Rhinolophus ferrumequinum: one gene and its partners. The protein of the gene in region 1 interacts with the protein of each later gene in a biochemical or structural test. Links are inferred from orthologs where the notes say so. Each region holds a gene or a part of one and is shown on either strand. Other genes may lie near its edges.

Evidence for each region.
Region 2: the proteins of HDAC6 (region 1) and UBD form a complex in vitro, tested with the Homo sapiens proteins (2 studies listed by BioGRID, with this or other methods). The link is inferred for Rhinolophus ferrumequinum from reciprocal best matches to the Homo sapiens genes HDAC6 and UBD.
Region 3: of the proteins of HDAC6 (region 1) and TUBA1A, one has a biochemical effect on the other in vitro, tested with the Homo sapiens proteins (4 studies listed by BioGRID). The link is inferred for Rhinolophus ferrumequinum from reciprocal best matches to the Homo sapiens genes HDAC6 and TUBA1A.
Region 4: the proteins of HDAC6 (region 1) and PRKCA form a complex in vitro, tested with the Homo sapiens proteins (2 studies listed by BioGRID, with this or other methods). The link is inferred for Rhinolophus ferrumequinum from reciprocal best matches to the Homo sapiens genes HDAC6 and PRKCA.

The regions. Positions count from the first base shown.
Region 1 is NC_046284.1:85,813,062-85,820,476, reverse strand, and holds the start of HDAC6 (histone deacetylase 6), read left to right. Parts: upstream 1-4,398; 5' UTR 4,399-4,520; intron 4,521-5,030; exon of another isoform or gene 5,031-5,075; intron 5,076-5,101; exon of another isoform or gene 5,102-5,360; intron 5,361-5,595; 5' UTR 5,596-5,625; coding exon 5,626-5,718; intron 5,719-5,802; coding exon 5,803-5,931; intron 5,932-6,065; coding exon 6,066-6,154; intron 6,155-7,415.
Region 2 is NC_046286.1:539,159-545,589, reverse strand, and holds UBD (ubiquitin D), read left to right. Parts: upstream 1-3,815; 5' UTR 3,816-3,952; coding exon 3,953-3,970; intron 3,971-5,303; coding exon 5,304-5,774; 3' UTR 5,775-5,920; downstream 5,921-6,431. UniProt on the Homo sapiens protein: Ubiquitin-like protein modifier which can be covalently attached to target proteins and subsequently leads to their degradation by the 26S proteasome, in a NUB1-dependent manner.
Region 3 is NC_046293.1:50,213,374-50,220,972, reverse strand, and holds the start of TUBA1A (tubulin alpha-1A chain), read left to right. Parts: upstream 1-4,575; 5' UTR 4,576-4,715; coding exon 4,716-4,718; intron 4,719-6,750; coding exon 6,751-6,973; intron 6,974-7,114; coding exon 7,115-7,263; intron 7,264-7,446; coding exon 7,447-7,599. UniProt on the Homo sapiens protein: Tubulin is the major constituent of microtubules, a cylinder consisting of laterally associated linear protofilaments composed of alpha- and beta-tubulin heterodimers.
Region 4 is NC_046304.1:44,302,524-44,309,676, reverse strand, and holds the start of PRKCA (protein kinase C alpha type), read left to right. Parts: upstream 1-4,143; 5' UTR 4,144-4,160; coding exon 4,161-4,333; intron 4,334-5,064; exon of another isoform or gene 5,065-5,227; intron 5,228-7,153. UniProt on the Homo sapiens protein: Calcium-activated, phospholipid- and diacylglycerol (DAG)-dependent serine/threonine-protein kinase that is involved in positive and negative regulation of cell proliferation, apoptosis, differentiation, migration and adhesion, tumorigenesis, cardiac hypertrophy, angiogenesis, platelet function and inflammation, by directly phosphorylating targets such as RAF1, BCL2, CSPG4, TNNT2/CTNT, or activating signaling cascade involving MAPK1/3 (ERK1/2) and RAP1GAP.

The DNA of each region.
Region 1 (7,415 bases):
TGTCCCTCAGGGGCTGACACTGTGAGCAGCTCTGTGTACTCTTGTGTGTGGAGGTATCAACACACATCGCTTCAGTCGGTATACGTGAGGGACCCCCTTCCAAGGGACAGAAGACATACTCAGGACAGGAATGGAAGGCAGGGGATGGCTGGAATGGTAGCCAACAAAAAGGTCAGATGACCAGTCTGGGACCGTGGGGTTGTCCGTGGGCCTTCCTGTCACTCATCTCTTATCTCTCAAGGCCCAGCTCAGCCTGCAGCCCTGTGGGAAATGGTAGAAAAGGAGAGGGGGAGATTAGGGGGACCAAATAGCCTCTGGAGGGATATTTAGACCCCATAGGTGGGGGTGCTCCCCGCAGTGCCAACGCCCTTCCCAGCACACTTAGGTGAATTGCTCTCCCAAAACAGAATCTGTTCTCCCATTTAACAAACCCTCACATACCGTGTTTCCCCGAAAACAAGACCTAACCGGAAAATAAGCCCTAGCATGATTTTTCAGGATGACATCCCCTGAACATAAGCCCTAACGCGTCTTTTGGAGCAAAAATTAATATAAGACCCCGTCTTATTTTCGGGGAAACACGGTAGAAGCACGCACTGAGTCAGGTGCCCTTCTAAGCCAGACAGGTTAAATGGTCAACCGAGGCACAAAGCTGATGGCACGGGGCTGAGCCCGGCTCCGTGGCTCAGCCTCCTCTCTACCCCACAGTTGCTAACAGCAAGCAGCACCACTTACTGAGTGTTTACCGTGGGTCGGCAACGGTTGGGAGGCCTCCGCTGCTTTAGTTCATGAACACCTGAAAAAAATACTCCAAAAAAGTATGTATATTCGTACTCATTTTACTAACGAAAAAGTGAGGCTGAGTCCGGATGAGTAACCTGCCCTGACCACACTGAGTTTAACGAGTAGATTTCAGATGGTGCCACCCCAGCCCGCCCCCCACCCCCCGAGTCTTGCTCACACTTACTTGGGCTGCTTTTCTCTCTCTTTTTTAAACCACTCACTCCTCAATTCACTCAGCTCTGGATTTGCTTTTGGGCTGCTTCTCCCCGGCAGCCCCAGAGATGGGGATGGTGGGACCATATATCCTGAACATAGTCATGGGTAAGCAGCTGTCCTCGACACAACAGCACCCCTTAGCGAGTCGCCACACAAGCCCGCTGCAGAATCACAGTAGTCCACACTCATTACAGGGATTGTCTAGAACTGCCCTGGCCCTGTGAAAGCCTCCTGCCCGGCCGCCCCACAGATCCCTAGCTCTCTCACCCTGCAGGAGCCCCTCATCTGAAACAGAAAGAAACCCCTCTCAGAACCTGTGCTGGAAATGTGCCTGGCCCCACCTTGTTCAGGAACCCCAAGCCTCACCCCCTGTAAGAACTGCAGTCCTAGCCTGGTACAGGAACCTAGCTCTGGAACTCTAAGGAACCTTCTCTAATTATCAACAGGAAACCCATCCTGACCCTGGACAGGAGCACCAGTCCTCGTATTGTATAGGAGGAACCCCTGTCCTGCCATGGGAATCTCTGAACCCACACTGTAAGGAAGCCCCTGAACCACCTCTTTCACAAACGCCTATCCTGACCCTCTTTCTGAGCTGTGATCTCTCTCTAGGAATCCTACCTTGACCCTGGACAGGCCACCTCTGTCCTCACACTGTACTGGAGCCCTGCCCTCCAGGTAGCAGTTTACAAATACTTCGCTCACAATAAAATCTAGTTCTAACCCACGGACCTGACTCTCTCTGCAGAAATCTCCATCCCATCTGCAACCTCTTCAGGAACCGATTGAGTTCAGGAGCCCTTGCTTCCATTGTTGGCAATGACCCCCTGACGTCGCTCTGTACAACAATCCCTATCTTGCACCCCACCTTGTAGAGTCCACAGGAACCCATGATCCAGTCTTGAACCTACATGGAAAACCCTTTCCCGACCCTCTACTTTAAGCCCAGACCTCATTCTATACAGTTACCTACAGCTTCACGTAGCACAGAACCCCCTGCCCAGACACTGTACAGGGCTTCCCATCCTCACCCCGTAAGCTCCGTTGCCGTGACCTTCTACAGGAAGCCTTGCCTACAACTGTACTGGAAACTCGAACTGGATTCTACAGAAAACCTTTTCCTGACTTTCAATGGAAATCCTTAACTTGATTGGTTTACAGAAATCTCTGACCCGATCCTTCATAGGAACTCCCAACCTTACACTTTGGAAACACTCTCCTGAACCTGTTTGGGAAACCCTGACGTGACTCTCTCTGACAGCCCTTGCCCTGGCTTTGTTCTGGAAGCCCTACCTTCATCTTATGCAGGAACCACTGTCATGACTGTGGCTAGTGGCTACTGCATTAAGCAGCGTAGCTCTGTAGAGTCTACAGAATCCTGTAGCAGGCACCACCACAGGTTTATCAACCCTGTTCTCTTCCTAAGCTCACTCACTTTCCCAGCCTCCCTTATAGTTAGACGTGGACATGTGACAGTTCTGATCGATGAAGTGTGGGCAGAGTGACATACACTACTTCAAGGCCTGGCCCATAAAAACCTCTCATGGAATCCTCCTCCTTTCCCTGTCTACCAGCTGAATAGTAAAAACTCCGAGGGCTCAGAGGAGGGCAGAGCCACAAAACAGAAGTTGCCTGGGTCCATTAATGACCAATAGTAAATATTTACGTTGGATTTTGTATGAGCAAGAAATAAACATTTGCTAAGCTCCTGAGATTCTGGGTTTGTTATAGCAGCTAGCCTAATTTAGTTCAATTAATAAGAATCTCGGCTGAATCTGGACACAAACACCTGATCCTACTGTCCACGAGTATATGAATGCAGCTCTGAACCTGTACAGAAACACCTGTGCTGACTCTGAAGCTGGATCACCTGATCTCTTTGTAGGAATAATGCAGTCTAAGGAGCCCCATCCTGAACTTGTATGGGAACCCCTAGTCTTGAGCTCTCTAGAAACAACTGTCTTGTCCTATATATAAACCCCTGCTTGGTTCAGTGGAGGCACACTAAGGAAACTATAGAAATCCCTGTCCAGAAACATTTGCTTGACCCAGTAGAAGAACACCAGAAGTGACCGGACCTTGTCCATGAATCCCTCTCCTTACACCTCACATGAAAGGAATACCTCTCCTCAGGAAGCATGGAACCTCTGCACTTATCCTGTAAAAGGATCCCAGTCAGATAAAGGAAGCCAAAGACTGACAGTCTACTGCAGGGACCCATAAATTATGGCATTCAGGACAAAGCCAGATTGCAGCCCGTTTTTACATTTTTTTAAGAGAAAGAACGGAAAGAAAGGAGAAAAGAAAGAAGAATTTACCAGAGGCCGTACATGGCCTGCAAAGCCTAAAATATTACTATCTGGTCCTGCGTCGAAAAAGTTTGATGACTTCTGCTCCACAGAAACCTCTCTTCTGACTATACAGAAAAATGGGCCTTGACACTTACAAGACTCCCTACTCTATTACTTTGTAGGCATCACAACCCCAGAATATTCCTCAGTGTGTATCATTGTATGTGTTTTCTTTGGTGTATGAGGAGGTTTAAAGGTCTTAGGGCCGTGACCCTCTTCCACCAGGACAAAAGACATATTCAGGCAGAAAGAGTGGAAGGGAAGGGAAGGCTGGAACTGGTGTTTTCAAGAGGGTCAGAGGGCCCAGCTAGTGGGTGGTGGGGCTGTCAATCTGTTTGTTAGTCAGCGATGCTGAACCCCAGACCGCTTATCTCTCGGGCCCCAGCCTACAGCCCCGGTAGGAAATGGTGAAGAATGAGAAAGGGAGATTAGGGAGACAAACCGGCCTCCTGCGGGGCTATTTAGACCTGGGGTGGGAGGGAGTTGGCGGGGGGCCGCAAGGGGGCAACTACCCTTCCTCCCAGGCACACACTTTCCATTACAACTTGGGAGCGAAGGTTACTCGGTGGAGGAGACTGACAGGGAAAGCTGCCGCCCAAGAAAAACTCCCCTCCCTGAGTCCCTTCTGTCCCTAGGCACTATTTTATCACAATTTTCCAGATGAGGAAACTGAAGCACAGAGATGTTTAGTAACTTGCCCGAGGTCACATGGCTAAGTCGCATAACCTCAGTTTCCTTATCTGCAAAACAGCCTTAATAATGGGAACTACCTCACAGAATTGTGGCTTACAGCAATGCCTGACACACAATACTTGTTATCATTATCATTTAATACTTGCCCCTACTAAGACTCCTTTCGCCCACCATCCATTTTCACGGCAAGACATTAATAGCTAACACTTGGTAAGTGCGGCCTGTGTACCACCTTCGTGAACATTAACTTAGAAAACCCTCGCTACATTTAGCATCATCACCAATCCCATTTGGCCGCCAGCAGCCTTCCTCCAGTTTCAACCCAGCTCCAGCCCGCCCGCGCCACGTCATCACAGCGCGCCGCGCGGGAAGCTGCAGGGAGGAGGGAAGACGCCCTTTCCCAACTCCCTCGCTTGCTCGCTTGCTCTCTTTAGTCATCGCACGGCACAGTAGCCCCAGATCCGGAGGGCTCCTAAGGTGACTGGACAGGGATTGAGTGACGGCGACCAGGAAAGCCAGGGAGACCGCGGCAAGGGTTGGGGGAGGGGCGAGCTTGGGTTTGAGCGCCGCGTCGAACCGCCGCAGCGCGCTTCGCGCAGGCGCAGCAAGGCCCGCGTCGCGGGCGGACGCGCAAACCCGCGGTTTGTGCGCTCGCGGGAGGTGTGGCCCGCACGAGGGGCGCGGTCCTGCGGCCCGATCCTGGTGTGGGCGGGACCTGGGCGGGCAGTAGAGAGACTTGGCCCAAAGGAAAAGCTGGCCTCCGGCTCCCACAGTCCCACAGGTCGTCGGGAATTGGGCGGTCCTAGCCGTGGGCGGAGTTTGAGAAAAGGGCTGTGCCCAGTGAATGGAGCCGAAGGGATTGGTTGGCGTCAACGGGGGGGGTTGGCGGGAGGCGGCTCCAAACTCGCTGAAGGGGCTTGGGGAAGCGACGGGGGTAGGGTTTGGCGGGGGGTGGGGCCTGGTAGAAGGAAAGGGGCCGTCCCCAGAGGGACAGGGCCTGTTGTAACAGTAGGGGCGGGATCTGGCCAAGTGGTAGGTGCCGGTGCGGCCCGATAAGGGGTGGAGTTAAGTGGTTCGTTAAGGGTGGAGTTGGGGCCGGGGTCGGTCTTGGGTCTGGGTCTGGCTGAGTGAAAGGGTGGGTGATTATCCCGGGCGATTGGATGGAACGGGCGTCTATGAAGAGGCGAGGTCTGGGCGAAGCTGAGAAGAATGAAAGGATCTGGGAATGGGGCTTGGTAGAGCGGAAGGGTTGTGATTTGCTGGAAAGAGCAGGCCCTAGAGTGGACTGAGCCTGGGGGTTAATTGCTCTTTGAAAGGGTAAGACTTTGAAAGGGGAAAGAATACAGTTAAAGGGGTGGAGTCTAGTGGAATGGGCGGGACCAGGTGAATTAGACACCCGAGTGGAGGGAGAGAGCCTTGAGAGAGGCGGAGTTTAGAAGGCAGTGGGGAGTAGGATAGCGGGAGAGATGGAGACTAGTATAGGGGGCGGGGCCTGAGAAGGGGCTGGGATGTGGGGTCCTCAGGGCACCCCAGCCCTTTCTGCACCCCTCAGAACCGCGTCAGGGGTGAAATCTCCCCGACCATGACCTCCACCGGTCAGGATTCCACCACAACCAGGCAGCGAAGGAGTAGGCACAACCCCCACTCGCCCCCCCACGACTCCAGCGTCACCTCGGTGAGGCCCCAGACCCGTCCTGATGAGGGGGAGGGGGAGCAGCCGGCCATGCAGTGGACTCTGACCCTTCTTTCTGTTTGGCAGAAGCGAGGTGCTAAGAAGGGTGCCGTACTCCGCTCCAGCCCCAAACTAGCGGAGGTTAAGAAGAAAGGCAGAATGAAGAAGCTCAGCCAAGAAACAGGGCAAGACCTAATCGTGGGCCTGCAAGGGCTGGTGAGAGTGGCCTGGCCACAATTTAGCCTCCTGTGACAATCAAAATCCTGAGGTTGTCCATCCTGGACAATATGGGATGTTCTCTCTGACTCAGGCCCTAAATCGATCCGTGTCTCACATTTTTTTCCTTGCAGGATCTGAACCTTGAGGCCAAGACACTGTCTGGTACTGGCTTGGTGTTCGATGAGCAGCTAAATGAATTCCACTGCCTCTGGGATGACAGGTGAGGCTGACTCCTCTAGGCTGTCCCCGAACCACACAAATATGCAGACTTAGAGCTACTAGCAGGAACAAATCCTTTCTTACACTAGCCTAGAGACCAGAAGCAGACGATTTAGGGAGGTGGGGCTCAGGCTTGAAAGGGTTCTTTTCATTTAGCCAGCAAATATTTATTGAGCGCCTACTGTGTGCCCCGAGTTGGTGATACAAATGTGTCAAACAAGACAGACAGGGTCCCTCCTCAAGGAGCTGATAGGTGAGTAGAGCAGATCATTAAACACCCAGACGCAGTGTGAAATGTTTAATGAAGGAGGACTTAAGACCACGGGCTTCAAGAATGTTTGATAGGGACCCTAGAGTAGCATCCAGGGTTCCCAGAAGGCATCCTTGAAGAAGCGACGTTTGTGCTGAAACAGGAGAATTCCCCCTCCCATTCGCTCACAACGTGTTGTAATTCATCAGCAAATTCTTTTGGCTCTCTGCTCGAAATGTATTCAGTATCTGACCTTTCTCCTCACTGTCTGCACTGCTACCACCATCATCACTCATCGAGACTTGCAGAGGCCTCCTCACTGGTCCCCTGCTTCCACCTTCTCCCCTGCTGTGTTTTCCACACAGCAACCTACAAAAATACGTACGAGGTGATGTTCTCTTTCTTAAAATCTGTCAAGGACAGACCATTGCCTTCCAGGTGAAGTCCAAATTCTTCATCCCGGCCTCTTAGGTTCCACGTGATCTGGCTCCACATCACCTTGGTGACCTCATGAGCTCATCCTCCCCCCTCATTCGCTTTGCTTCACTTCACCCACACTGGTCCCCTTGCTATTCTTCCAACATGCCAGGCACTCCCTCGACTCGGGTCTTTCCCCTGTCCAGTCTCTCTTCCAGAGATCCGTTTCTACCTTCTCTCCTCCCAGTTAATATGCGTATCTCAAGGAGACTTTCTCAGAGAGAGCTTTGCCTGGTCTTTCCCCTCCCCCCACACCTGATCTTCACGCTCTTCCTAACCCATGCCACTGTTTGCTCATTACTATGTTCATGTGTTTACCGGTTGAGTATCGATGTCTCCTAACCCCGTGGAAGAGTCAGGATGTCAAAAGGCTTCATTATTGAATGTAGATCTACTGTCTCCTGAGGAGCTAGGGACGTGGCCCTGGTCAAAGCAAACAAAACCCCTGCCTTTGTGGAGACTACGTTTTCGAGGCGGGGAGACAGTCCACAAACAAAAAGTAAATGGTACAGTGTGTTAGAGAAGTGCTATGGAG
Region 2 (6,431 bases), on another chromosome or scaffold:
GTAGCGTATCTCTTTCCCTCTGTAGTTTTGCATGTGTTGAAGACTTATAAAGCGTGTCGTACTTTATGTAGTCTTCTTGGTCTTGTTTTTTTTCATTCAATAGGTTGCTAGTATATTGATCCATATTGTTGCGTGTAGGTATAATCCATCCATTTTTACTGCTAACGATACTCTACAATTCAGTTATGTGTTTCCCCATTACTAAAGGGTATTTGAGTTGCTTTAGTTTGGCATGTCCATTTTGAATCTGGATAGGTATTTTAGATTGTCCTTTGAGAGTGGACAAGGTTTTATTGTTTTTATGTTTGTTTTCCTTTCCAACCTTCAATAAATGAGAATTCACAGTAACTTTTTGATTGGGTTTGGCTGGCATTGCTGAAGCAATATTCTAGATCTCATAGTAATTTTACAAACTCTTTCATTGACATTATTAGAGAGATGCGAAAGGGGCCTCTGCTCCAGGGAGGACTCAACTGGGGGCAGTGACTAGTCCAATAGCACCCTATCACTAGGGCCGAGTTGGGAGGTTTGTAGCTATCTGAGACATTTGTTTAATAACCTGGCAATATCTCCATAGCGTGATATTTGATCTTGGCTGGTTTCCTGGATTTGATAAAAAGGCAAATGAAAAGAGATCTTTCAGTTCTGCCTCTGAAACAATTTCCTATCACGACCCAGAGGGGAAAACAGATTGATAATGTGGTAAGAAGCAAGGAAGAGGTCAGGTTCCAAGAAGAAATCCTACCTGTGGTCAGTTAAGGGGCACCAGATGTCTTGGACATTCCTCACCCTGGCTTTGGGCTGGGAGGGAATTTCACATAGGAAAGGAGGAGAGAGAGGAGAGGGAAGATCAGAGTCCAGATTTTTTATTTTGTTACTTGAAAGGACACTGTTTCTCAGAATCCAGGTCCTCTCTGGGTAGGGAATCCCCTGAATTATTTTTTCCTGGAGGGATCACAGGCTTGCCCTTGGAGTAACTCTATGCTGGAAATCCCCAGCTCCAGTGGGCGGTTCCTCTATTTGCACGTGGAGTTGCATGGCATTCGCACTTTGAACACTCACAGTCCTGGGGGAGCAGTTCTCATCTATGTTTGCAGCAGGCTGTGACCTCCCTCCAGGCTCTGGCCCTGCAATCACAGGCTCTTTGCTCACCTCTGCCAAATAGGGATATACAGGCTGGTCCAGTGTGGGTGTGCCACCCAGGGATACACCTGCGTACATATAGGCCCTGAAACTCCCTTTGCTCTCATTCATCCTAAGGCCCCTCGTACCCTCTGCTTTCCTTTGGCTCTCTGTATTCCTTCCCCCAACTAGTTCGCTTAGCAACTACTACTAAAACGACTGTGGGTGAGTTAGCTTCTTTCTAATCAATAAGGATACTGACATTTACCTCATTAGAATGCTAGAACAGTTAATGAGTTTCCATTTAATAATGTCTTGTGCAATTCCTGAAATATAATAAATACTCACTAAACAGTTTCCATTTTTATTCACTTACTTATTCATGCATTCATTTAGTAAATATTTATTATTTACAGTGCCAGACAGCTTGTCCAAGTAGTGCTGAAGATACAAGTTAATGGAGACACAATCCTGACCCTCAAGATTCCTACTCTTTAATGGGGGTAAAGGACAAGTAAGCAGATAATCCTATTGCTGGAGAAAAGTGCTCCGAGAGGCTTCCAGAGAGAGTATGAAAAGACAGAAGAGCTGCTACTTACATTGCATACTCTTATAAATTTCATGGAGTTGGGGGCAGAGTTGGAGGGAAAGGTGTGCTCAGTGACCTGGTGGCAGAGAGCTTGGCATATTCAAGGGTATGCAGGGAGTTCAGGGAATCATGCATGGAAGCCCCTAGATGTACAGCTCTGCAGCTCAGATCTGGGCTGTAAGTATAGATCTGAGGGCATCAACAGACATATACTATTACTGGGAAATGTCATTCCTGGGCTCTCCTTCCTGGAGCTTCTGGCTAAGGGTCTCTGCTTCCCCTGAGAATGAACTGGCCCCAAGATGGTGTAGGCTACTGAGGCAAGAATGGAAAACAAGGAAAAGGTACAAGAAGAGAGTGATTTAATTCTAAACAGCTTTAACCATCTACTCTCTTTCTTCTTTCCCAGAAATGACGTGAAGATCTGAGAGCGTAAGGGGCGCAGATAAAATTTGAAATGTGAAAGCAGTTTACTTAAGTCAGGGCACATACAGCTTTTACTTTCTCTTTTCCCAGGCCCATCCCCCATCCCTTTCCTGCTGCAGGGCTTCCGGTTTATCACCCTCAACCTGATATGACATTTTCTGCCTAGTTACTGGTGATGTTTCAGAATACCCAAATCCTATTGGACAGTGGGTGCAGACCCGTCCTTTTCTGCTGTGCTGCAGCCAAAGGTCCCAATCTTGGTTTCTAAACACGGGACAGTAGGAACCTGGAGAGGTATCTGAAAGGAGAATAGAAGGAACAAAGGTTTCCTGCCTATTCCAACAGCACACTTCCCCCTTCATACTCATCCTGTGTGTTTAAAGAAGCATGCCTAACCCCACAAAATGCGTTCAAATAATAATCAGCTTTTCCAATTTGATTAACTGATTATCTAATAAGAGTTTCACATAGAAGAACATAGTTCAGGATAGGCTTTTTGAAATATTGGAATATGCTCTTGGATCCCATTACTTTACGTAGACACTTCTGTGAATCCAAGTTCTGCCAGATGGGAACCCCTGGAATAATACGGGATCATCTGTGATCCATCCGTGAGTGAAGGCCTCAGTGAAAACGCAGCAAACAAAGGTGATAACTTGGCATTTTTACGGGCTTTTTACTTTGAAAAATCTGGAGAACTTTTAATAAGTGCTTTTTTAAATGGGTTTTTTGGCAATGTCCTGAGAGTTGGGGATAGGGAAGTGATTAGTCTGGAATAGTAGGAGGATCAAGAGTGACTGAGTGAATTCCCTGAAGAAGCACAGCTCATGCACTGCTTTGTCCCCGTCCAGATCTCAGGAGCTGGGGAGTGAGCAGCACCTGTAGGTATGTCTGAGATCACGGTAGTGAGGAGTATCCGGGAGTGAAGCTGGGCAAACAGAGGCACTGTGGTGTGAGGGTGAGTGTGTGATTGTTTTAGCGTGTGGACAGTGGGAGTCAGCCTTTGATTGTTGGCTTTGGAATGTTCTCAAGTCATGGTGGATTCAGTTTGCAGTTCCCAGGACAGGATAGGAACAGTGATAGAGAGCTCAAGACCCGGGAATCGAAAGGTCTTTGTAAAGGAGGTTTTATAAACAAAGGTTTGTGAGGCTGGAAGACACTTAGGAATTCTTTCCACTCATCTCATTTGATAAACCAGAAAACCAATATCTAAAATGGTGGACAGACTTGCCCAAGGTAATATAGTAAGTGGCTCCCGTCAGTGGGACTGATCCAGGGTTATTTATCCTATGTTTTCTCAAGTCATGCTTCACACATCCTGCCAGGATAGTGTGAACAGGCTGCTCACTCCACATCAACCCTGACTGTCCTCTCCTGGGCGGCCCTGCTCTCAGGAAAAAACCTGACTGATGAGGGCTCTTAAAAGCAGTAGGAGAAGACCACCAAGCATCAAAGGTCTTTAAGCCATTGAGGCCCAAGGCTGCAGGCTGGTCAGTCATAGCCAGGACAGGAAGTGGTGGGTTGTTGACCGGGGAAAAATTCTCAACAGAGAAGGACCATCCCATATTTGGAAGAAGGAGGGCAAATGGATTGGCTGACAGGAGAAGCGCTTGATCAGAAAGTTTGTTTTGTTTTTTTGACTCACTCCAGCGAAAGTGAAAGAAAATCCATGAGTCCATGCAAGAACAAAGAGCACAGGAAGCTAGACACAGGCAGGGGATTTCCAGCTCAGCCTCCTTGTATATAAGCGGGCGCAGTTCTCCTCATCCTCTGTTTTCTTGGTCTCTGGTTCCTGCTGCTCCCTTCAGTGCAGAGATGCCTTCGACCCTCTGTGTAAGTTGGGATTTGACAATGGGGGTAGGGAAAGAGAAAGTACCTCGAAGGGATGGGGGTCTCAGGAATGGATGAGGGAGTGCCCAGGGAGACATGGTGGCTTCTTGAGGGGATGAGATAGGCATTGATATCTACAGAATGTGAGGGAACATTCTGTGAAGAGAAGCTGGTCATTTGGCTCCTGAGTTCTCTTTTGGGTCAGATCTTGGACCGGCTGTTGTGAGGGATCAATGGTAGGAAGTGGGAGTACGCTTTGTGCTCAACAGGCCTGGCAAGACTCGAAACTGGAAATATTGTCTTAAGCCTTTTTCCTCATCCTGTTTAGGGGCTCATGACTTAAACTTGAACTTCCTTCTCCTCCCAAAAGGGGCGTTCACACAACTCATTTATCCTGAGTTGTTAATGACCTGACACATTACCTTATATAAGAATATAAACACTATGTAGAGAACCTGGAATGAAGGCAATGCTTAGCGCAGGAGTGACAGTCCAGTGAAGAAATGTCTGTGACATGTAAATTGGGAAGATATGTTTGAATGGAGCATGAGGGAGGTCCTGCCAGGCTTTCAAGTGACAACATAGGGGTTAGCTTCTCCATTTTTCAGATTACTGAAGTAAAATTTAGATATAGTCCTTACCTTCTGTGAGTGAGGCCCTGTTTTAATTAAAGGACTAAATCGTATTCTACAATAGATAGATATAAAAACAGGGGAAATACAGAAGAACAAGTAACATTGAACACAGTGTCACTGTACTATGTATTAGGTTGGTGCAAAAGTAATTGTGGTTTTTGCAATTTTTTTTTTTAATTTAAACGGCAATTACTTTTGCACCAACCTAATAAGTTATTATTATAAAGCAGTGAGACATTAAAACAGAAACAAACAGTACAGAGAACATGTTTGTTTCTGACGTGGACATGGAGGGCAGTCCCGCGAGTTTCCCCTTAGGTGCCAAATCTTGGAAATTATCTTTGGGATTTATTTTTAGAATCTGGCGTACACCTTTGAGTACTCTGTAGTTGTATTTAATTTTTGACATTTGACAAAGTTTATCCAGGTAGGAGGCAGGCAAATATGGTGGGAAATTATTAATGATGTTTTGGGGATGAATGAGAGGTATGGTTATAAGGAATAAGACTGCCTTTCTTGTCTGTGTTATAACCTGGAAATTCAAAAAGAGAAGCTCCAAGAGAGGGAGGGACACAGCTTGTTAAAAATCAGCCAGAGGACCAGACAGGCAGTGAAGTGCAGGAGAAACTAAGGAGGGGGAACAAGGGGTACACAACGGGGCAGGCATTCCTGGTAACTGTCTCTTGGCCCTCATTGTCCAGGTGAATGTCCATTCTCAGGAATGGGGACCAATGACCTTCACTGCCAACTTGCATGACAGAGTGAAGAAGATCCAGGAACATGTGCGGTCTGAGACCAAGGTTCCTGTGCAGGACCAGGTCCTCCAGCTGGGCTCGAAGACCCTAAAGCCCCAGAGAAAGCTATCATCTTATGGCATTGACAAGGAGACCACCATCCACCTCACCCTGAAGGTGGTGAGGCCCAGTGATGAGGAGCTGCCCCTGTTTCTGGTGGAGTCAGGTGATGAGGGGCAGAGGCACCTCCTCCAGGTGCGAAGGTCCAGTTCAGTGCCCGAGGTGAAAAAGATGATTGAGACCAAAACTGCTATAACCCCTGAGAAACAGATTGTGACTTGCAATGGAAAGAGACTGGAAGATGGGAAGATCATGGCAGATTATAACATCAGAACGGGCCATTTACTCTTCTTGACACCCTACTGCATTGGAGGGTGACCACCCTGCGGATGGGGTGATCTCTGGAGCAAAGGAGCTTATTTCCTTTTCGCTCTTACTCACCAACCACAACCTTTGATGATTTCTCAAAATTATTGAGAAAGAGGTATATAGAAAGAGTAGATTTAGAGTGGGGAGTCAGACTGCAGAATACTTTTTAACTCTATGATTCTTTGATTCTAACATAATTGATTAAGTGGCAGGATTGTGTATATTACTGAAAACAGAAAATAAAAATTTAAGGCACATTAGAGATAGCATTCAAAGCCAGCTTGCAATTCAGTCCTTCCTTGGTTTCCTCTGACATATAGAAAAACTCCTATTTCCTTTCTCATCCGACAACATAGGAAGTTTTAGGCTGGGATCCACGTTGTACTAATTTCTGTGTTTCCATCTATGTTTAAACCAGTGCTTCATCTATCGTATCACATGGTAATTGTTGAACCAAATTGAATTTCTCCTTATAGAGAACAATGAAACGGTTTACTACGAAGTGAATTAATTACATGATTACAATCTAGTCAATAAAGAATTTAGAAATTCAATTAAACTACTTTCCCTCGCCTTATTTAAAGCTGGTTGGTATGAAATGAAACCTGGCACCGTGCCCCCTCTTACTTGTCCCATACCCAGTGAAAATTGTTCTCATTTCTGGGG
Region 3 (7,599 bases), on another chromosome or scaffold:
ATTACTATGGTCTGACACCTTCTGCTTAGATTATTGCAATAACCTCCTTATTGGTCCCCTTATCACATGTCTCTTTCCCTATTCCACTTACCTGTCAGATTAATTTTATGAATATGCTGTTCCCTTCCCTTTTTCCTTTTTTTTCCTAAAATTATAAAGGCTTCACACTGTCTATTGACTCAAGCCCAAACCCCTTCAGACTGGAGTTCAAAATGCTTTAACTAGCTCCACTCTCCCCATAAAACACATTACTCATAATTCCTTTGTATGCCCAAGTCAATTTCTTTGCTAATATTATTTTCCCTATTTAAAGTACAATGGTATCAGATGATTATTTTTAATTCACTTTTCTTTCTCCTTTTTATTTTCATTTTCCTTTGTGGGAATATCTTTATGAACTCATGGGTTTATGTTGTTAAAAGTTTTATTATAAAAATTGCATAAATACAAAAATGCATAAAACACAACTTTACAGCATAACAAATAATTATTAAGTGAACATTCAGCTTTTATATCCCTTTGCCTCCCTTCTCCCTATCAAAATCAACTTGGGAAATTATCTGAATTTTAATGTAATTTAAAAAAATATGTCCTCTCGGAGATTTTTAAATAAATATAAGATTTACTTCTATTATGGAATTGAAGGAACCATATTAAGGATTTGGGATCTTCATCTTAAAACTAACAGGCAGCCATTAATCTGATTTATGCAGTAGAGTGACATAATCTATTACATTATATTATATATACAAGATCACTCTGGCTGTTGTGTGGAGACTGGACTGGGCAGGGGTAGAAGTGAATGTAGAGGAAATATAAGGGGACACTGAGTTTGTCCAGACAAGAGATGATGTACTTACTAGAGTAGAGGCAGTAGAAATGGAGAGAAAAGAATAAGATTTGAGACACATTTAGGAGGTAGACTTGACAGGACATAGTGACTGAGTCTATGGTGGTCAGAAAGGAAGGGGAGATGTCAAGAATAATTCTCATTTCGGATGTAAGAAACCAGGTGTATGCTGCTCCATTTACTGAGCAAAAGAACCTTGTAGGAGGTGCATGTTTGCACCTACTGAAGACAACTCGTTCAATTTGGGATACCTGTGAGAAATCCAGCCAGAGATTGAAAGTTTATGATATAATCTGGATCTAAGAAGAGATGTCAACAAGTCATTAGCATACAGAAAGGATCTGCAGCCTTCGGAATGAGTGCACTTACTATCCACTAGGAGTGGATGAAATCGCATAGAATCAAATGAGGAAAAGGTCTAGGACTGATCCTTGAGGAACTTCAACATGTGAGGATTAGGAGAGGAGAAAGAAACAGCAGAGACTGAGAAAAAAACAAAAAATGTAGAAAAGAAACCTAGAAAATGTAGAGTTTTTGAGGCCAAGGGAAGAAAGTGTCTCAAGAAATAGGTAATAGGGGGGTGGGAGGGAGGTAGACAAAGGTAAAGGGGATCAAATATATGGGGGTGAAAGGGGATTTGACTTTGGGTGGAAAACACAATGCAATATACAGATGATGTATTATACAAATGTACATTTGAAACATAATTATATTAACCAATGTACTCCAATAAATTCAGTAAAATTAAAAAAAAAATTTCCAAAGTGAAAAAAAGAGAGATAATAGTCAATTGTGACAAAGCTTTCACAGGTCAAAAAGAACTAAAAAGTATCCAGTGGATTTAGCAACAAACATGGAAGCCATTTGGTTTTAAAAATGGTAGGAGCAGAATCCAGACTGGAATGGATTTAGGGATAAATAGGAGGTGAAGAAGTAGGAAAAAAGTGTTAGACACCTCTCTTGTTTCCCACATAAGTTATGATCCTCCCTCATACACACACAAACACATGCATTCTCAAACCTATATACATGTACTTGTTTTATTTCTTTAATTAGATTGGAAGAGTGTGGTGGAAAGGAGACCATGTTACTACCTCTGAATTCTCATAGCATATAGAATGGTCCAGGGCTTACTGTGGACACTTAGTACATGCTTATTGTATTAAAAAAATGTAAAATACTTTATTAAATACTTTTAAATTACTAATCATGATAATAATGAAAATAATGAAATTAAACAGAGAAGCTGTTTAATTCAACAAACATGTATATAACCTCTACTGTATGCTAGGCACTTTGCCAGGGGCGAGGAGTCACATTTTCATGGAGAAGAGGCGTAGACACACAAATAAATAATTTAAATTTCACAATATTATGAAGGAAAAAATGTTTTATGCTAATCTTACTGTGTACGAGAATGAATCCATTAGTAGAATATTTATTCATGTACACTAATATAAGTTAAAGAAATTGGCAGTAAAAATGAGAAATGAACTAGTAAAAACATTTTTTTTTTGGCCTCCCATAATTTGCATACTATTAAATCAGATGAAGAACAAAAAGATTAGTTATTTTCCCTGCTCTCCCATTTATATATTTAAGATTATCAGTGCTCAAATAGTCTATTTCTGACCTAGATCTTATTGTTACTTATGCCCAAGGGGAGAAAAAAAATCCTCATTTACATAAGGAACAGAATGGCTCTGAGATAGAATTACAAAGAAGAATCAACTACATGAACCCTTCTCTCTTTGATTTAATTCTCAGTGTAAATGGCATAAGGAACTGAGGCTATTGGAGAAATGACATATTTCTTTTATACTGTAAAGAAAATAAAATTCAAGACTACCCTTCATTTCCAAAATGAGATTTGTACACTTTATCAAGGTCCAGCAGTGTCTGATTTATTTTATTATTAAAATTTTGAAAGAAGTATTTTCAATGAGCTACTTATTTAATCCTTACACTCCCCCATGGCATTTCATTCTTATTTTTGTTAAATGGACTTCTGGATTCAGAAAGAAGTATTCAAGTTATCCTTAATTTTCCTGTCTTTTTACTGAAATATACTTTTGTTTGCTAAAGAAAGATAAGATGATGTTGAAGATTATTTTTCCTATGAAATATGCAAGAAGTGAATCATTTGTGTATTGTTTTTTTTCCCCCGAGGGAAGACTCTACTGCAGGAAATTTGAACAAGTAAAGCAGAGCTGTGGATAGCCGGCTAGAAAAATCCACGGCCACCATTGTCACACCACAACCTGCAGCAGCTGTCTCAAGTCCATCCCTCCCACGCCCGGCTCTGCCTGTCAACCCAGCAGGAATGAATGCGCTCTGCGGAGCACTTCAAAAGGTGCTGCAGACCCTGAAAATCTGTCACTGAAAACCGAAGGGAAAATACAAATTTTCAACTTTGTGGCCATAACAAACCTTTTAATCTTTTAAAATTCATTAGCAACGTCAGGTGGTACCCAGTTCAGAGTCTTACTCTGCATAGCCCTTCCTTGTTGAAAATGGAGCCTTTCAAAGTAGCAAAAGAATGTTACTGCAATCCATTTCCTAGGGGGTGAAAGCAAAGCCTTTTTGTCCCAAGAGGCAATTGAGCAACCACCAGTCTCTAGTTGAATAGCCAGCGTGTGAGGCTGGCTGCAATTCCCACAGTTAGAAGCCTAATCTCGGAGGAGGAGATTTACCAAATTCAGATAAGAACTACATAAAAAAGAAATGCAGTTATTGAGCTGACATCACAGACTGGTCTGTGCGTGGAGGCAACATTCCAAAATAGTCTTCTTTTTACATTGTGCAGCTCTCCTCCTTTTTAATTTGGTGTCTCAGTTATTTTTTTCATTCCAGGAAAGAGAACAATGCAGAATATAACCGCATGCACAGGTAGTATTAGCTTCTGAACTCAATTCTTTCTCTTTATATTTTCTCAGTTCTATATCAGGAAAAAAATGATTCATTTTAAGGGAAAATACACTACACAAATTACTATTACATAGACTTCTGGTAAAGGAATATTTCTAGTAAAATTATTTACAGTATGTTAATTAGAGCGTAATTATTGCCACGTTAGAACTACTTGAGTGCTTCCATATTTAGTATGGTTATTCTTTCCATCTTCTGTTTTTGTTTGGCTATTTGGGAAGGGGTACAAAAGAAGATCTGAAAATAAAACTTGAACCTGAGAAACCATTTTGGATGACTCTACTATTAAACTTTTTAAAAACTAAAACAAACACATTTACCCAAGCCATTTGAAGCATCATTCCCGTCTTCTCTCCTACTTTATGTTTAAAGCAATTATCGATGTTGACTCCTCACGGAATGTGGTAGAGTTTAGCATACACTTTGAGGGAGAGACTGGAGCAATTTTCCATTAAATATTTCATCTGAACATAAATTCTGCGACTAAGAGTTGGGAAAAACCTTACATTGGTGATTTTAGTTGTAGTTTGATGATAAAATCATCCCAGCCTCTGTTCTCTTTCTTCCCTTTTGCACCCCCTCCTCAGCCCCACCCCATAATGGATGCTCCGCTGACTGTTTTCGCTCAGTCTCTTTGTCTGAAGGATGCAAACAGTCTATGGATGCTAGGGAAAAAGGGGTGGGGGAGAGATTACCTCATCCCATGTCGCTTGCACCAATCACCACTCTTCTGTCGTGGCTTCTCTGGGCAGATTGAGGGGTCTGGACCAACAGGAAAAGGCCCCAGCCCATCCCCATGGTGACCGAGTTGTATATAGGGAGCCGCATCCACCCATGTGCCGCAGGTTCTCTTACATCGACCGCCTAAGAGTCGCGCTGTAAGAAGCAACAACCTTTTCCTCCCAGCCATCCACCCGGCAGCCGCAAAGCAGCAACCATGGTAAGAAAGAATATGTTCTCTCTGGTTCTTTGTGGCCATTGGGTGGGGTCAGCCCCCCACGGTTTGCTTGGAAAATCTTAAGCTCTTTTCCTTTACAACTTCTTTAGGTCAGGGTAGGTCGCCTTACGCTTTGTTGGAGAGGTTAAGCTTTGTGTGCCCCAAATCCTTGAGCCTGGCCGCTGCCGCAGTGCAGGGTGCAAGCAAGAGCCCGGCAAAAATTGCGCCGAGGGCGCGGCAGAACCCTGGGGAAGAACAAAGGCGGCGTGGAGGCGGTTGTTATCCCGCGCCTTCAGAGGCGCAAGCAGCCCGTCTGTCGGTGACGAGAGGGTCGGGAGCAGGGAAAGGGGATCGCGGCGTCTCCTGCACACAGTGTGCGTGTGAATCGGAGGCTCTTTTCTTCCTCGCGCTGTTCCCCTGGGGCAGGGAGAGGAGGCGTCGCCCCAGAAGACCCGGGGTCTGTGGGTTTAGCTGGGAGGAGTGGGGAGAGGACGACGGCTGAGACAAAGCGGAGCCTTGGGTTAGTTTAAAAAAAAAGTTCCCTTGCCGGTTCGTTGGCATTTTAGAAAGATACCCGCGTATTAACGGGAAAAAAGTGGTTGGTTTCTGTTGGAGCCAGCGGCAGCCGGCGTCAGGGCGGCGCAGGGGCGGAGTTGTTTGTCTCTGGCTTCTCCGGCCTTGGAGCCATTGGGCGGGGTTCGCTCTCGCTAACTCTCTTCTGTCAGGAGGAGACTATTCAAGTCTTTCATCGTTGTAGAACTGTAGGCCTTACAAGGCTTTTCATTCACTGCTAAAACTTAGATGGAATGTTTTTTCTTGAGAAGCAAAATCACAATTCACTTGACAAGTCCTTTAAGGTCAGGACCGGGGCTACGCAGACCTGGCGGACTTGATTGGGTGTTTGTCTGTCTTGGCCACATGTTCAGTGAGAAAGACACTTTGTGAACCAGGGGACCCTAACGCGCAGGACCCAGGGAAACGCCCCGCCCCCCCACATATCAGTGAATAGACAATGGATAGACAATGCAAGTTGTAGCCATAAAGACCATAGAGTAGAAAATATCTATTGAATGTGATGAGTATGAACATTCTGTGGTGGGTAGAGAATCGAACGAATGAAAATACGTACTATTTTGTTTTAAATAAATATTTCATTATCCTTTCACTGGACTTTCTTGTTTATTTGGTAGCGTCTCATGTGATAGTTTGTTTTCAATTTAGGAACTGATGTTTTAAAGATACTCATAATTTTTCACTTTTCTACAGTGGAGAAAATTCTGGAGAAATTTTTAAAAAGTAATGAAATTAATGCAGACAAAGAAGAATTATACTCTGTGTCCAGCTGTCTTTTGTTCGAGCGAATTTCAGTAATTCATTTCAATTTAGGCGTATGGTTCCAGCCTGGCTCAGAGGAGGGAAACTGGCAGAATGGCACAATGAGATCATGTGGGTAGTTTCTGGAAATAGAGCTTGCTCTGTTAAATAATGTAGCAGACAGCACAGGCTAGCACCAGGCACAGCAAATACAGCAATGCAGCAGTGCAAGGAGTCAGCCCTTGCTTAGCTTCCAACCCCCTAGTACAGATGGGTTCTGCAGATAGACTGCAAAAGGGTGTGGCTTCTAGCCTCAGCTGCAATACAGATGTCCATATGGAAATACCCAGTCATATTTAGAAGAAATTCTCATCTGTATTTAAAGGGGAAGGAGGTAGTAATATTGATTCCAATTAATAATTGAATTAAACTTCATTCTACAGAATCTGTGTTTTGAATATTTTTAAATATGAAAAATCTTCTATTCAAGCATGGCCATGGGAACAATAGACTTGCACTCTGCGCTGTACCGTGCCACATTTTTCAGGCCACGCCCACCTGCAGCTTTTGTAGCAGGTGCTTTTCCTTATTGTGTTAGGGATATGACCTCAAATAAATTTGAAGAATACCTGTATATAACTAGAAACATTGATAGAAATCTACTGAAAATTCAAAATGATAACAACCTAATTTTACAATTTTTCTCTTTTCTTTCCCACAGCGTGAGTGCATCTCCATCCACGTTGGCCAGGCTGGTGTCCAGATCGGCAATGCCTGCTGGGAGCTCTACTGCCTGGAACATGGCATCCAGCCCGATGGCCAGATGCCAAGTGACAAGACCATTGGAGGAGGAGATGACTCCTTCAACACCTTCTTCAGTGAGACAGGCGCTGGCAAGCACGTGCCCAGGGCAGTGTTTGTAGACCTGGAACCCACGGTCATTGGTGAGTTGACCTCCGTAACCCAAGTGAGATCCCAGGGGTCTGGGACAGGATGTGTGTCCTGGGGGCTCTGTGGATGCCCTGGGGTTGGGCAGCTTGTGCGGGTTGTTAGTGATGGGTGGCCGCTTTGTTTCCCTTTTCCAGATGAAGTTCGCACTGGCACCTACCGCCAGCTCTTCCACCCCGAGCAGCTCATCACAGGCAAGGAAGATGCTGCCAATAACTACGCGCGGGGGCACTACACCATTGGCAAGGAGATCATTGACCTCGTCTTGGACCGGATTCGGAAGCTGGTGAGTACCAGTTTGAAATATACTTAAAATGGGGTGAGGTGATTCATTGCAAGTTTAGTGAAGAGACCAAACTATAGCATTCCTTCTTTGGTGCATGCCCAAATGTGAGATACACTGCTCACTGTATTAATTGAAAAGTATCCGATGTTGAAGAATTACATTTTCTTTTTACTTCCTTCACAGGCCGACCAGTGCACAGGTCTTCAGGGCTTCCTGGTTTTCCACAGCTTTGGTGGGGGAACTGGTTCTGGGTTCACCTCCCTGCTGATGGAACGTCTCTCTGTCGATTATGGCAAGAAATCCAAGCTGGAGTTCTCCATTTACCCAGCCCCCCAG
Region 4 (7,153 bases), on another chromosome or scaffold:
CTGTGGAAAGCAACTTCACAGGGTGATCTGATCATAAATTCCTACCTGGGCAGGTCATGGTGGGTAGTCCTGCCCCAGGCCTCTAACTTCTTTAGTGAGAGGTTTTAAGCCAGCTCTGTCCGTTGTTCTTGCACATCTAGGTTAACATACCTTTAAAATGCCAGAAGTAATACCCCTGGAAGGGGGTCTTAACCCTCAAGAGAGCACATAATCTGGTTAATATCCTGTAACCCAATCTCCGCCTTGCTTTCTCCCACCTCCATGTTAGTTCCCTCCTTAATTTCAAGCGCATAAAGAAGCGCAAAATTGTTATTCTCCGTAGAATTTGAGCTCTTGCTTCCTGGCATATGTCATCAGTTTGGCTCAAATAAACTCTTATAAAAATTCTCAACAGGTTTGGACGTTTCTTACGTCGACACAACCTGTACAACCATTCCTGATGGTAACCTCTGACTGGGTCTTCTGACTCACCCACCCCTATATTATCCTGCTCCCCAATTTGCTCAACATCAGCCCCTTCCCAGCTAGACTTTGTCTCTATCCACTTCTTGAGATCTGCCATTAACCCTGATTCTAAACACTGCCTAATTAATCATGCATTGCTCCAGTTATCTTAGCTTTCCTAAACATTGAATTCAACAACATTGAATTGCATAGAGCAAAAATCCTTTAATTCAATGCATTAAATCATCTTGGTAACTATCTCAGAATCGAGCTTTTTCTACACTTAAGCAACTTCTATTGCTCAATGTGAAAACGAACTGGTCCACTTGAAAACAGACCTACTTCTACCGTCAAGACTTGGTTTTAGTTCAACCACTCTGGTTTGGAATCATCAATTTAGTGGCCTGACTTTGACCCCAGCCTCCAGCCTCTGGGTCCCTCCACCTCTCCAGTCTCCAGCTTACTCCCTCAAAGGCAGGAGTCAGTCACAGAGGAAGGTTCTTACAAAGTCTGTGTTCAGTCTCCCATTCCCTGTCCTTTCCTACATGTTCTCCCTGAAACAGCAGATCTCAAATAATCACTGAATGCCCACGACTAACTGACCACTCCCTCCCCAGTAGTTTTCCTTTCTGTGATCCTTCCAGGTTAGTGCTACCGTGGGGACTTCTCAGGTGTGTGGCAAGGGCCAATTGTGGCTCACATCCCCATCAGTCTTTGCTAGGGGCAGTGTTACACTGATTGACAATTTCCTGCTTGGGGTGCGTCCCCACCTCACCCCTACAATTGAGTCAAGCTGTAGGCAACTGAGCTCTCAAACTCAGTCCAGCTATCAATCAACAAACTTCCAGTTAGTTCTCTCCATACCCACAAAGAACAACAGGATTAACTGAGGCAAGAAAGCAAAGCCACAATCTGGGAGAAAAAAAAAAAAGAGAGATTGTCTCTATCTGGTGTACCCACAGCTGCCATCAGTCACTCCTTACAGGAGACGGGCAGGCTGCTGCTAAGGCCCACTGGTTCACAGTTCATCTTCCCTCTTCCTTTACTCAGGGATTCCACTAAGAGCAACCCCACCCTTCAACTCCCATATTTTCCCTCCCTCATTGCATCAAAGCTTCAGAGAAATAGAAAGAAACTTGTCTTCATAAAACGTGTGAGAACCTCTGGCTGTGAGGAAAGATGTGTGTGTGTTGTTCTACTGTGCTCCATTTGATTTATGATTATAAAGCAATAAACAGCCATGGCTTGAGAGTCATAAGGAGTTTTGTGGAGATTTGATTTATTTTTCCCCCATATGCCCTGCTTTTCATTCCTTTTCTTGCCTCTTCCTTTTTCACTTCCTTGAACTGGAGGAGGCCGCCATGAGTGGTGAAATTTCTGACCAGATAGAATATCAAACATGTGCAGTCTCTTTAAGTAACCACTACATTGGCCCAAGAGATTGTAAATGGGCCAGCAAAGTGCATGCTCCACTAATGGCCAGTCAATAGCTTACACTTGCTAAAATATAAAAGCTATTCCTATCACCAAGCATTCAGTTAGGCAATCTTAAAAGATGGTAACCCCGCATGGCCTGTGTGAAATGCTCTAAGATAGTATGTATCGTAGAAAAGCTTTTTTTTTTTTTTTTTTTTAACTTCTTGGAAGGTTAAACATGTTCTCTTTCTTTCCTCCTTTCTTTCAGTATGAATGTCAATGGCATTTTAATTTTTCACCCTTCCCTCTCCCTTTGGCAACCATCAACCACTATTTTCTGTATCTATGGGTATGTTTTTGTTTTGTTTATTCTTTTTTAAAGATTCCACATGTAAGTGAAATCATACAATATTTGTCTCTGTGACTTATTTCACTTAGCACAATACCCTCTAGGTCCATCCATGTTGTCACGAATGACAATGTTTCATTCTTTTTTATTGCTGAGTAATATTCCTGTGTCTGTATATATCACATCTTCATCCATTCAGCCTCTGATGGACACTTAGGTTGCTTCCATATCTTGCCTATTGTAAACAATGCTGCCATGACCATAGAGGTGCATACATCTTTTCAAATTAGTGTTTTTGTTTTCTTCAGATAAATACCAGAAGAAAATTCCTGGGTCGTATGGCAGCTCTATTTTTAAATTTTTGAGGAACCCCCATACCGTTTTCCACAGTGGCTGCACCAACTTACAATCCCATCAGCTGTGCATGAGCTTTCCTTTTCTTCACATCCTCCTGGATACTTGATGTTGATTTATTGATGAGCCATTCTGACAGGGGTGAGGTGGTATGTTCTCTTTCTTGATGTATCTTCAGTTCATGAAGTTGTTTTGTGAATCTGACAATGAACTAAAACAATAATGAAATGCTGGGAGACGGTTGTTTCCCTTACGTATTTTAGCATCCTCCAGGCAGAACTAATAAATATTCAGCAAGTGATTACTTGGTACATCCCCAGTGCGTCCTTTGCATATCCGTGCCAGCTATCTTTCACAAGCAGTTTTACTTGGTAATTTACAGATGTACTGGCTGCACTCTGCACATGCCAGTATTACAGTAATTAGCTTAGGATGCAAACGATTTCTAAATTAAAGTTCTGGACTGGTAAAATTAAGAAAGCTGGGCAATCAACGTTGTAACTGGTAGACAATAAGTAAGAGGATAAATAACTAGGACAAGTCTTTTATCCCTACGTGCAAATCTGATAGCTATACACAGCACAGGTAAAATATAGGTCAACAATTAGAGGCAGGTGAAAGGGCCACTGTTCAGTGATTTAAAACCCCTCCCTTTCTCCTGCCATCCACATATAAACAGTATAATGGGCTGGGGGTCTGGCATTTTAGGGTACATGCAATCGGAGTGGTTTTAGCCACTCAAATTGATACAAGCGGATAAAACCCGGGCATTCTGCCCGAGCCACACAGGTGGGTCCTGGGAGGTGGATGGAGAAGGGGCAGCATCGGAGCGGGTCCACCCCGTGGGTGCGGCGTGGAGCCCCATCCTGGGACCCCAGGCTCCTCCCGGCCGCGCACAGGCGACAGAGACCTCCGACCCCCCTAGAGGAGAACAAAAGGAGCGAGGAGGAAAAAGACGAGCTGGAGACAGTGAACGGGAGTGGGAAGAGGAAGAGGGGAGAGGAGCGGGTAGAGCGAGAGGAGCGGAAGAAGAGGAGGGAGGAGAGACGGGCGGAGGAAGGGGAGGAAAAGGGAGGAAAAGAAAAAGGCGGCGGAGGAGAACGGGCCCGCCCCTGCCGGCGTCCGCCTCGGCTCCCAAATCCAGGCCGGCTCTCCCAAGGCCGCTGCCGCCTCCTCGCGTTTCTGGGCTGCAGCGAAAACGCCGAGGCTCCGGCGGCCCCAGCTCGCGCGCCCCCGCACCGCCGCTCAGCCCCGCGCGCGCCCCGCCCGCGCGCTCCCGCGCGCCGGGCATGCGCAGTGGGCGGCGCCGCTCCGGGCCGCCTCTGAGGCGGAGAGTAGGAAGCGCGAGCGCCGGGCTGTCAGTGAGCGTGGGGCCAGCGAGCGAGTGACCGGCTCCGGCTGCCGCTCCGCGCCGCTCCGGCCCGACTCTCCCCGGCGGTCGCCGCTGCCGCGCCTCCTCGCAGTGACCTCCGCTGCCGACCCGCGTCCCCCGCCGGGGGTCGCCCGAGACCCCACCGCCCCTCCCCCGCCCGCTCCCCCACCCGGCCCTCCCCGGCTGCTGCTCCCCGGCGAAGGCAAGAGGTGGTTGGGGGGGACCATGGCTGACGTTTTCCCGGCTAACGATTCCCCGGCGTCTCAGGACGTGGCCAACCGCTTCGCGCGCAAAGGGGCGCTGAGACAGAAGAACGTGCACGAGGTGAAGGACCACAAATTCATCGCCCGCTTCTTCAAGCAGCCCACCTTCTGCAGCCACTGCACCGACTTCATCTGGTAGGTGCGCGCGGCGCGGCGCGGCGCGGGGCGGGGCGGGGCGGGGCGCGCGGGCCGCCACTCGGGACCCCTGTCCCGGCGCCCGCCGCGGGGGCCAGCCCTTCCCGAGCCCGGGTCCTCTCCGGGGGGACCCGCGCTCCCCCCACCCCGAGTCCAGGCGGGTCCACTCCAGGGCTCACTCACTCGGGGAACTTGGAGAGCCGGCGGGAGTCCGAACTCTCTCGCCCGGCACGACTGGCGCGCGCCCGGGGCCGCTGTCACACGCGGGCAGGACTCTCGGGGAAGTCACCGCCGGGTCACACACCCCCTGCCGCAGGAGGGAGGCTGGCCGCGCGCGGTGGTGACACTGAGCCCCTCGCCGGTCCAGCGCCCGGGTCTCCCCAGGCGCGCCCGCCCTCGGGGCAGACACCGGAGGCAGCCGGTGGCTGGGGTGTGAGCACCGGGGAAAGTGAAAAGGAGAATCCAGAGGGCAGAGTCTCCCGGAGAACAAGCCTGGGAGTAATTGCTGGAGCCGCGGCGGTTTCGCCGCGCGGTCCAAGTTGTTGGCGAGTCAAGCTGAGCGCATTCGGGGGTGGGGGTGGGGTGTATTTTGTGATTCCCATTGGGCGTGGACTCCCCTGGAACCTTGGGTCCCCGCGTACTGTAGCTTGTATCTTGCTGGGCACGGAAAGACTTTGACTTTTCTGGGTGAGCCCAAAGAGGAGACGCAACAAACTGTTGAAAGCTTGCAGTGGGGGAGGGGGAATTAAAACAGAGCTAGCGGATGGCAGAAGGACAGAGGGAGTAATTTAAAATAGACCCTGTCAACACGAGATTAGACCTGTAACCCTGTCGATGAGGACAGAGTCCTTATTTAAGAAAAATACTGTAAAGGCTGGAGGTGTCAGTGTTCAGGTAATTTCTAATTAACTCAGCTATTAATTTGGGGGCGGGGGGCTTCGGGGGCTGGGAGAATTGATAAATGGGTGGGCTTCAGGGGGCTCTGGACCCTGTAAAACTGGGTGACATTTTTTTTTCTGAGATAATTACAGCTCATGAACTGATTCTCAAAAGATCCGTGCCTCTCCCCGCAAAAAAAAAAAACAAAAAAAAACAAAAAAAAAAAACCCAAAATGTTTAGAAAGCTGGAACTAAGGGAACTCAAGGTGCTCCAGTCTGAGGAGGAGCTATAATTGTTTTAATTTCAGGTGGCCACGCTGCCTCTTCTACCTCTTGTTCATGGATGCGTTCCAAAGCTCCCCAAGTCAGAGCTGTGGTTAGATTTCCTTAGCTCTCACCTCTCTTAGGGATGGATGGAGCGCTGCACCAGGGTGACAGTGCTACAGGAGGTACCCTGCCACCAGCTGGCTGTGTGGCATATGTATCTTGTTGGGACCCTAGGGAGAAGTATGGGTGGCTCTGTGTGAAACATCTCAAAGGGCGAATTCCACAGAAGTGGTGGTAATCAGGTGCTTAGCTTTTTTTTATGGACGGTTTTATTTGAATCCATCACACTTGGGGAAAATCATCTCTAAGGGAGAGCCTCACAAACGTGGTGCTAAGAAGGTGCTTACTTTTTCCTTTTCTAGAAATTTTCTCAAAAGTACACTTTTATGAAAGAAAAGCACAGCCACCTCTATGAATGATTTCTACCATGTAGCCAGCCTATGAAGCAGTGCTGCACATAGGAGTGGATAATTGTCGATAAGGTTATTTAAAAAGTTCTCGGAGCATCAGGGCAAGGAGAGGATACTGCATTTAGTTAAGGGGAGGTCTTCAGCCTCCCATGCCAACTGTGAAACTCCATTAAAAGGAAAGAGGCTGCTGATGACTTTTGCAGCAAGTAGGTGAGTTAGAAAAGGGACGGCAGCTTACACGGCCAGGCTAGCTAATGTCTTTCCACTACTAGCTGCCCTGAAGGATCAGCCCCTGGTGAACTGATGTGGCATGTCAGGTCACCAGGTGTAAGGTGAGGTGGAAAAGAAAGGTCTCCCTGTCTTCTTCCTGAGGAATCCCTGCAACCTTTCTCCACTGAACTGTAAAGCACCCACTTGGAAGTTCCAGGCAAATATTCACCAGGCTTGTCTAGTAGTGGTTTTCATTTTTGTTTCATTATTGTTTCTCTGGGTTCTTGATTTATGAGTTGTATTTAAATATTAAAGCACTGATATTTTGAAACCAAAATGTTTGGGTTTTAAATATTTTTTTTACAGGGGATGACTAAGTTAATTATGAAGATATATGAAGTGCTTTGTAAATTGAAAATGCTATGTAATGCAAGAGATTATGGCTAATAACCTTCTGAAAAAAATTAGCGCAGTTCATCTGTAGTTGGAACGGTGTTTGCAATTGAATGCCCATGTCAAGTTTCTCTGCTTAGAGAGTAAATTCTCTAAAGTAATTTACAAGAACAAAATAGCCTCTGTATGTGCTTCAAATGCTATTGGCTCTCAGTAAAAATTAGATCATAATCTCAAATGCAAACAGGAATGATACTTTGTAAAATCTGGCTCCTTTAGGCCAAAATTTAATGTTAAGGGTGGTGCTGTTTGGCAATTTCTAGACAAATAATATTTTAAACAAATTCGTAACAAATGACAAAGCCACTTTTTAGCTATCTTTAGGGAGAAAAAAAACGATTTTCAATTGGTCTTTAGAGACCAAATTAAGCCACTGCCATAAGGTCCTTCATGTTATTTGAACATTGTAGCCAACTACTTTGAATATACAATTATGTTCTTGAAACTTAAGTATTGATAACAATGTAAAAAGTAAGACAGAACCTTGATACTTTGAAGTAGTCCAGTGAGCCTTTAGAGGCCGGGTAGATTTCATTCAAAG